Arabidopsis thaliana: one gene and its partner. The protein of the gene in region 1 purifies or fractionates together with the protein of each later gene. This does not show direct contact. Each region holds a gene or a part of one and is shown on either strand. Other genes may lie near its edges.

Region 1 (3,930 bases):
AAAAATATAATTTTGAAATGAAACATGCATACAAACTTTGAAACAAAACATGCAAAATTGGTTATATAAATTTGATAATAAATTGCAAAATATTTTCTTACTATATACGATATTAGATATATATAATATGTGAAGAAGATTTACCTTAGCGTTGAAGTGGAAACGGTCGACGCCATTCCAATTATCAAGATCATAAGCAGTGTAATGTTTGCAACATGCGGCGACTTTAAGGCGGTTACCGGCAGCAGTACCCTGAAGTCCCCGGACGTAGCTGGCGGCATATTTTGCGGCAACGATAGGATCTTCTCCGGGAGTTTCTTGGCCTCGGCCCCACCGCGGGTCCCTCAAGATATTCACATTCGGACTCCAATATGTCAGACCGGCCACGCCACCATTGTACATAGCTCTTGCCTCATCAGACACCACCTTTTATTCATTTTAAATCATGTCAATATTAAGATATTCTCCACACACCTTTGCTTTTGTTGAAAGAAATAAATATACTTGATATATAAACCATATGTTAAAAAGTATTCTCTTATATTCACTGGTTATAGCTAGCTTGCCCATCATCATATTAACTATGGAAGTATCGTGGATATCAGTACAGCATATATACACACTAAGTAATTTATCAAAAACATTACAAAATAAAAGTTTGGTAGTACCCATATAAATTTATATATTGGTTTTGCATTTGATGTCTAAAGGAAAATATTATCGGTTTTTGGATTTTTTCTAACTTACGTTTCGGACTTATTTGATAGACTCATGTCGTAGTCAGATATAATTCAAATGAAAATCATAATATTCAAGATTTATAATTTTATAAAAAAAAAAAATATAGAGCGTCCCACTACAAACTCTACTGTATGACTTCTAGTCTTCTACAATGTCCATTTCAATGTCGTTTTTTCACGTAGAAAAATCATAAATTTTATATTCTCTTCCTTTTTTTAAAAATGTATTTTAAAGCATAATATTCTTAAATTATTCTCACCCGTCCGATCTCTTCCCATAGAGACTGGTTGAAAGAAGCTGCGGTGGTGATGACCTGAGGGAAGCTGGTGGCACCGGGAAAAGCACCACCGAACTTAGCGCCTGGACCAACGTCGGAAATGCCGTGGAGAGCCTCGGACCACCACTCATAGCCTCCAATACCGAGACGTGGTACGGCGGCAGCATTGTTGACGAGGTTGCGGATCTTCTCCTGCAACGTGAGCCTTCCGAGCAAATCTTGAACTCTCACATGGATCGGTACATTGGCCCGACAGAACCGGAGCGTCCGGGTTAACCCGTTTGCTGGATCACATGCAAACAGTGGTCGAAGTGACTCTGACGAGTGAACCAAACATAAGAGGAATACAAGTATAACGACGACTTTGTTGCCGATCAATAGTGCTTTATTATAACAAGACATTTTTATATATCTGTGTTTTGTGTATGTGTGTTTGTAACTATATGTGTGTATACATGTGATGTTTGTGTTTTTTAGTTTTCATGTGATAGAAAGTGAATGATGGTATTTATAGAGATCTTTTCGGCGAAAATTGATGACAAAGGATAAGAGACTCTTGTTATGAACATAAAATAAGATAGAGATAAAACGATCTAGCTGGACAGGTTACGAAAATGAGATATCTCAAAAGAAAAAGAAAAAACTTTTTTTGTTGAAAACATTTAAAAAATTAATAGTTTGTTTTCCCTTTTTCAAAAGCGTCAGTTTGTTTTTCCTTTCTTCAACATTATTTTTACGTTTTCTCAGTACGATCACATTTGTCAATATAAAGACTCAAGCAACACCAGTGATGATGATTATTTGAAGCGCACAACGTCTAATTATAATTTTATCGTAACTTATATATAAATATGCTGGTTATGCAAAGAATCGTTCATTATAATATTTTTAAAATGGTCTTCGATAAAATGAAAAATTCGGTAGCAACTATGTTCGATAGATCTATTACAGAGAAAAAACAATGGCTAATTTTAAGATAAATGTGAGTGAAATAAATATTTTTTTTTATTTATAAAGAAAATACATATAACTGTTGTGACTATTTATCATGAAGGTTTTAATGTGTTTCCTCAATTTTAATGTGCTACAAATAACATAAATATATCAGTAATATTAACTAATCAACACATCAATCAACCTGTTAAACTTTTTCAACGTTAAAGACTCATTTGTCGTTAATTTTTTTTCAACGTTAAAGACTCATTTGTTGTTAATTATATATCGTTGAAACCACCTACCGTAGCCTCCAGTCATGTCCATGCTTGGACTCGTGCCCCACCGCCGCCACTACATCCGCATAATCCCTAACGCTAGTTAAAAAATGTTATAATCTTAGCTCTTTTGTTTTAATGGACTTACTATTACATTTAATTAAACCATAACTCACTCTTTGCATGCCATTATACAGCTAACAAACTACTTCAATTTTGTAAGTTCTGACATTTTATACTAATTTACTAATTCCTTGTTCAAACATTTTAACAATTTTATATTAATATGTTTGCAGATATATTATTGATCAGATTATACAACAATTTTTTCATACAAAACATTTGGGGCCTTGGGGAGTACACTTTTGTAATCAAAAGTTTCTTATAATCTAGACAAAAATATTTAGTTGGTGGAATTTTAAAATTAAGTTTGGTGGCATGTAAGAGTATTTACACATGAACCACTTCATGTCCGTTTAGTATAGTTGAAAGATTTATTATGGACTTAGACATTGGATCCCTCCAACTGTATTTTTAGTCATGAATGAGAATTATAAACGTTTGATATGGCAAAAATACACGTTTTATGCAAATTTTGAAGACTATTCTTGATTTCAGTCCTCTTTATTAGCATACATATATTTTGTAAGTAATTTTATGCACATATGGTTAGATCAATGTATAGGCATGGGAAAAAACCACGCGAACAAGGTCGTGGTCAGACGAGGCAATGACACTATGAGCAAATAAATAACCCATAAATAAACAGAGAGAAGTATATTTAGTTTATCAATTAGAATATCTATATAGAAACATTTACAGATTTAGTTATAAAGAAATTCAAAAATGAAACGTAAGACCTAATAAAGCTGTGAGACAGACAGAGAAGGTTGTCACGGGTCTCGAGCATCGATCGACTCTTTACCAAATTGGCCAATAATAAGCATCTAGTCATGTTGCCCATACTTCTTTATTTATTTTCCTAATTGTTATTTGATTTATTGGTCTTCTTTATTATAAGTTTCTAACAGATCAGCTTATTGTTAGAGATATTCATCAATTATTAAATAATTGACCCATCAACATAACGACGCTCGTTTTCTTTTGTTTCGGGTATAGATACTTGTGGTCTAATACAACCAAATATTGCTTCTGTAATGAAAACACTAGAACGAATTATTATTATTATTATAAGTATAAACCTGCTTGTAATTACTTTTCTCGTTCGAGTTATACTGGATACGAAAGTTTATGTAAATAGAAAGATTTCAATTCCTTCTAACAACTTCTCATATATTCGTTGACAACGAATGACTATATACCATTCTGTCATTGACAAAGTTTTGACCGTTAACGGTAAACTGATGGATAGTTATAACCAAAGTTCTCGTTTTACCTAATTAAAGACAAAAGAACAAATTGCACAAGGTAAGGTTGATGCAAACAAAAGCCAAAACATAAAGCTACGGGAGAAAAAAAAGAAGACTTGTGAATATATAACGTAAAATAGGAATCTGAAATGGGATTGGTGGAATGATTATAAGTTTATAACTGTACGGTTCACAAGTGGTCTGAGCAACCAAAACAAGTTTTACAGACACGTGAGGCCCAACGAAAACACTCACTCGTGACCCTTACATTTTTACTTTTGTTCCAGAAGTAGCAGTTAATACTTTTTGTCTATCTATATACAAATTAGGG
Region 2 (3,930 bases), on another chromosome or scaffold:
AAAAGAAAGATCATCAAAGAAGTGGAGTGACTCTACTCTTTCTCCGTTTGTTCCTTTCAAGGATGATGATACGTGGAGAGGATTGTATTGGTATAGTGAGGGTAAGATTAGGAACATGAACATTTTTGCTGTGTTGTAAGCCTTTCTTTATGCCATTAAGTTATTACCCATTTCGTTTTCTTTTTTCTCTTCACTACGTATTGTGTTCATTAACTATTCGTTTTTGGTGTTACAAAGCTGATCTTCAAAGTAACATTCTGATTTCAAAGATTTATAAAGTTTGGAATTAGACCGACTTAACTAGACAATGGTTCTATGATCCGTCGATGAATTTTATGCACTTACAATTTGTCTTAACAATGACATTAATCAAGGATGAGATGCTTTCGATGTAAAAAGTTGGGCAAAACTCTCTGTAACCGAGAGGGTACAATAGTGTACATCAAATAGTAATTAATGAAAAAACAAAGACATTAGTAAAGTTTAAGAAAGAAAAACTTATTTTTACTGTATTAGATAGTGCACAAGCAAGCTCTCAATGGTCTTTAACTTACATCAACACAAATTAAAAGGAACAATTGCATTACGCCATTACCGCAGGCTCAATAGTTCTCCAGAGCAAGATCATGACCGCATATTTTAGGGTAAAAAAGAAGAAGCATATTCCTACAAGCAACTCTGGACCAGTCATACAATCTTCATCATCTAAATCAAAGACCTTCACGGTAGAAAAATCAGAACCCAACACTCTCAGGGGTTAACCTCCATAAACATACTAAAAGATCACTGATCACCACCAACATTGATCAGTTCATACTCAACGAGAGACAGATTGTTATCCTCCTTGACAGTGAAAGACGCGGCTCCAGTGGCTTCGATGCGTCCCCATTTATCAACTCCTAGCCTCATTGTACCCTTGAACATGTCTATCCTTGAATTGCGCAGTATCACCGTAGCACCCGGCTTCATAAGATCAACTATACACACACACACACACACAAAAAAAACCAATAACATCATTAGAGCTAATCAGTAGCCACATCAATTGCACGAAAACTGGTATAACAAAACTTCACATTATGAAAAGCTATGAAAGTTTTGGGATAATGTAGACCATTCAATTGAACATAACTCAACATCTAACCAAGCAAGTTTCATCATCACTATAGGTAAGACTATACAGAGTTACAGACCCTCAAGGCCAAGATTCTTTCAAGCTTCAATTTCACAAAGACATCACTAAATACACATACAATAACTGATACATCATTTACCAAATAGTACTAATAGAAACACATTTACCATTTGCTCAAAATAGAAATTGATTAAGACAAACGAGAGAACAACAAAGGATAAGACTTATCACTCTAATAAACTACGAAGACACCATTTCTATATCCATAAAGCAAGAGAAAAGTGGAGAAACAATAACCTTGATCGTTACGAGCAGTGAAGAGGATACACCCAGTTTCGTCACCGATGAGACACTCAACGATTCGACTAGGCTGAGAAGGACGACTCAGAGAACTCGCTGGACGAGTCTTCCGGGTAACAGGAACCACGATATTAGCCTCAATGACTTTAACAGTCAACGTGTGACCAGTCGTTCCAGGCTTTAGCTGTTCCACCTTCACAAACACCGGTTTTCTCTTCACCGTCGAAGTTCCCGTCGCAACCGCAGCAGTTCCAGTCGTCGCCATCGCTTCAAATTACAATACCCAGATTTCGCGTTCGCCCTAATTTGGTGGAATCGATAAAACTTTTGGAGAAGAGAAATGGGAATTTAGGGTTTATAAAGAAAAGACGACGATGTGCTCTCTCCCAAGACGGACGAGAGTTTTTATCACCTGCTTCTCACAGTTTCATGAGCTTGTCACGTGTCAATTTATTATTTGATATTAATGACTGCTCTTTATTTATTATTACGTAAATGTGAAATATTATTACACAGGTGGATACTGAAAAGACACTAGTGACTAGACTAATAAAGCTTCTTTGGTGCTTTGGTTTCTGCAACTAGCACCAACGCTTGCTCTTCTTCTGCTGACCGCGGTGAAGTTGACTTATCCTCCGGCGATTTTTGTTGCTCCGGGTGAGTTTTTTCTTGTTGCTTCTTCTCCTCCTCATCCTCGGAATCTAACTGTAGATTCTGTCGTCTGTATCTGATTACTACTACTATGATAAACACTGCAATAAAACGGGTCTTGAGAGAAGTTAGATTCCAGAATGCAGTAACTGCAGAGCCTGCTACGAATTTCTTGTGTGTGCAAACTCCCCAAGCTTCAACAAATCTCCTTTGTGCACACTCAACTACACATAAGCAAAGATCAAAGAATCCTTAGTGTCAATCATTGGAACCATCAAAGAGCTACGCAGTCTGTTAATAGAGTTTACCTTTTTGGTTAAGCTGACTTGCGTAACATGAATATAGCTTTGGAATAGTGAAGCTAAGGAAGAAACCTGTTTAAAGAAACAATGCATACTCTGTGTCAATTCTACTAGATACAACTAAAGAAAACAGTTTAGCTTTCTTTGGAGTAATGTTGACATATAGTGTTTCAACAATCATACCAAAAGCACATAATCTCCACAATGTTATGAGGTAACCATACTCAGCTCCCATTAGAACAAAAGGTGCCACCTGAAATCAAAGTAAAAACAGTGTAAGAAGGACAAAATCAACGTGAGAGTCACATTCATTGGAGAGAAGTTTTATGAGAATGGCAAAGTTTTGTAAATTCTACTTTGAGTGTCATTGCTGGTTCACCAGAGAAAAGCTCACTCGTCTTTGAAATTGCTAAATTGGTGATGGGAAGCATTCGTCTAGCTATTCGTAATACATCATCTTCACTCAATTTAAGCTCTCTCCGCGCTTCTTCAGTAACCCTTTATGGTAACAAATGGATCAAAACTTCAGTCAACTGCAGTTCAAGCTGATATTTATGTACTGGGACCTTAAAAGTTTGTACCTTTGGCGAAGAGTATTTGACAAGAACGATACCCCAAGAAACAAAAGTCCAAGATAGGAGATCGCTGAGAAAACACTTCAAACCACACAAAGTTTCATTATCAACTCATGAATGTGAAAAATGATTAAAGCTAGAAAGATAAACCTTGACAGAGAAATCAATGTTACCTAAAGTTAAATCCTTTAGCAGCAAAGCAAGTAGATAGGAAACATATACAGCCAAAACCAAACCAAAGTGTTGATTTCGCAACATCTCTCCACATAATCAAATCGCTTATATTCTCTCTAATCCGCTCTAAATCACCTTGACAAACATCTTGAGCTGAATTACACAAATCATTGAGCAATTATTAGAGCACGAAAGTGAAATCGAATGAGCTAATAGACAGAGGAAGGACATACGTTGATCTGAAGATGGACTAGGAGAAGCTAACAGAGGAACAGAACTGTGCTTCTCCTTCTTAGATCGACCCAACTTCTTCTGTTTCCTCTGGTTTTGTTTCTTTTCATCGGTCACGACAACAATTGGCTCCGTATTTTCCTTTGTATCTACCATCGCCTCCGACCTTAGTCTCGACCTCCGGAAATTCCTCGGCGACGGCGAGGCCAAAAGACCATTTTGCCCTCCCTTCGTCTTACTCCGTCGTGCCGTCACAGCAGCCTCCGCAGCTTCCATATCGAACCGATTGCTTAAACGGGTTCTCGATTTACGAAGAGGGGAAGGAGATAAAAGGAGAATCTCACGAAGAGTAACAGGAGAAGATGGTGAACTGAGAGAAACAGGTGATGGGTAAGGAGTACCGTTGTTGTTCTTCGGAGACAATAAAACCAAATCGAGAGATGGAATGTGAGATTTTACGAGAGTTTTGTTGTTTCGAGCTAGACGCAAAGCGGATCTAGTATTCGAACGGAGAGAAGGAGGTGTGGTAGTAGAGTCCATTGTATGAGAAAGTTTTTTTTGG

What was found.
Region 2: the proteins of BXL1 (region 1) and AT4G28440 fractionate together in Arabidopsis thaliana (co-fractionation; one large-scale study listed by BioGRID). This does not show direct contact.

The regions. Positions count from the first base shown.
Region 1 is NC_003076.8:20,015,240-20,019,169, forward strand, and holds the start of BXL1 (beta-xylosidase 1), read right to left. Parts: upstream 1,619-3,930; 5' UTR 1,421-1,618; coding exon 1,001-1,420; intron 427-1,000; coding exon 145-426; intron 1-144. UniProt on the Arabidopsis thaliana protein: Involved in pectic arabinan modification in mucilage secretory cells. Also acts as a beta-D-xylosidase during the remodeling of xylans in vascular development.
Region 2 is NC_003075.7:14,057,824-14,061,753, reverse strand, and holds AT4G28440 (Nucleic acid-binding, OB-fold-like protein), read right to left. Parts: upstream 1,859-3,930; 5' UTR 1,701-1,858; coding exon 1,433-1,700; intron 978-1,432; coding exon 784-977; 3' UTR 368-783; downstream 1-367. Other genes in the region: AT4G28450 (WD repeat and SOF domain-containing protein 1), read left to right, coding at 1-30; AT4G28430 (Reticulon family protein), read right to left, coding at 1,982-2,310, 2,395-2,460, 2,572-2,641, 2,745-2,886, 2,970-3,044, 3,137-3,290, 3,371-3,908.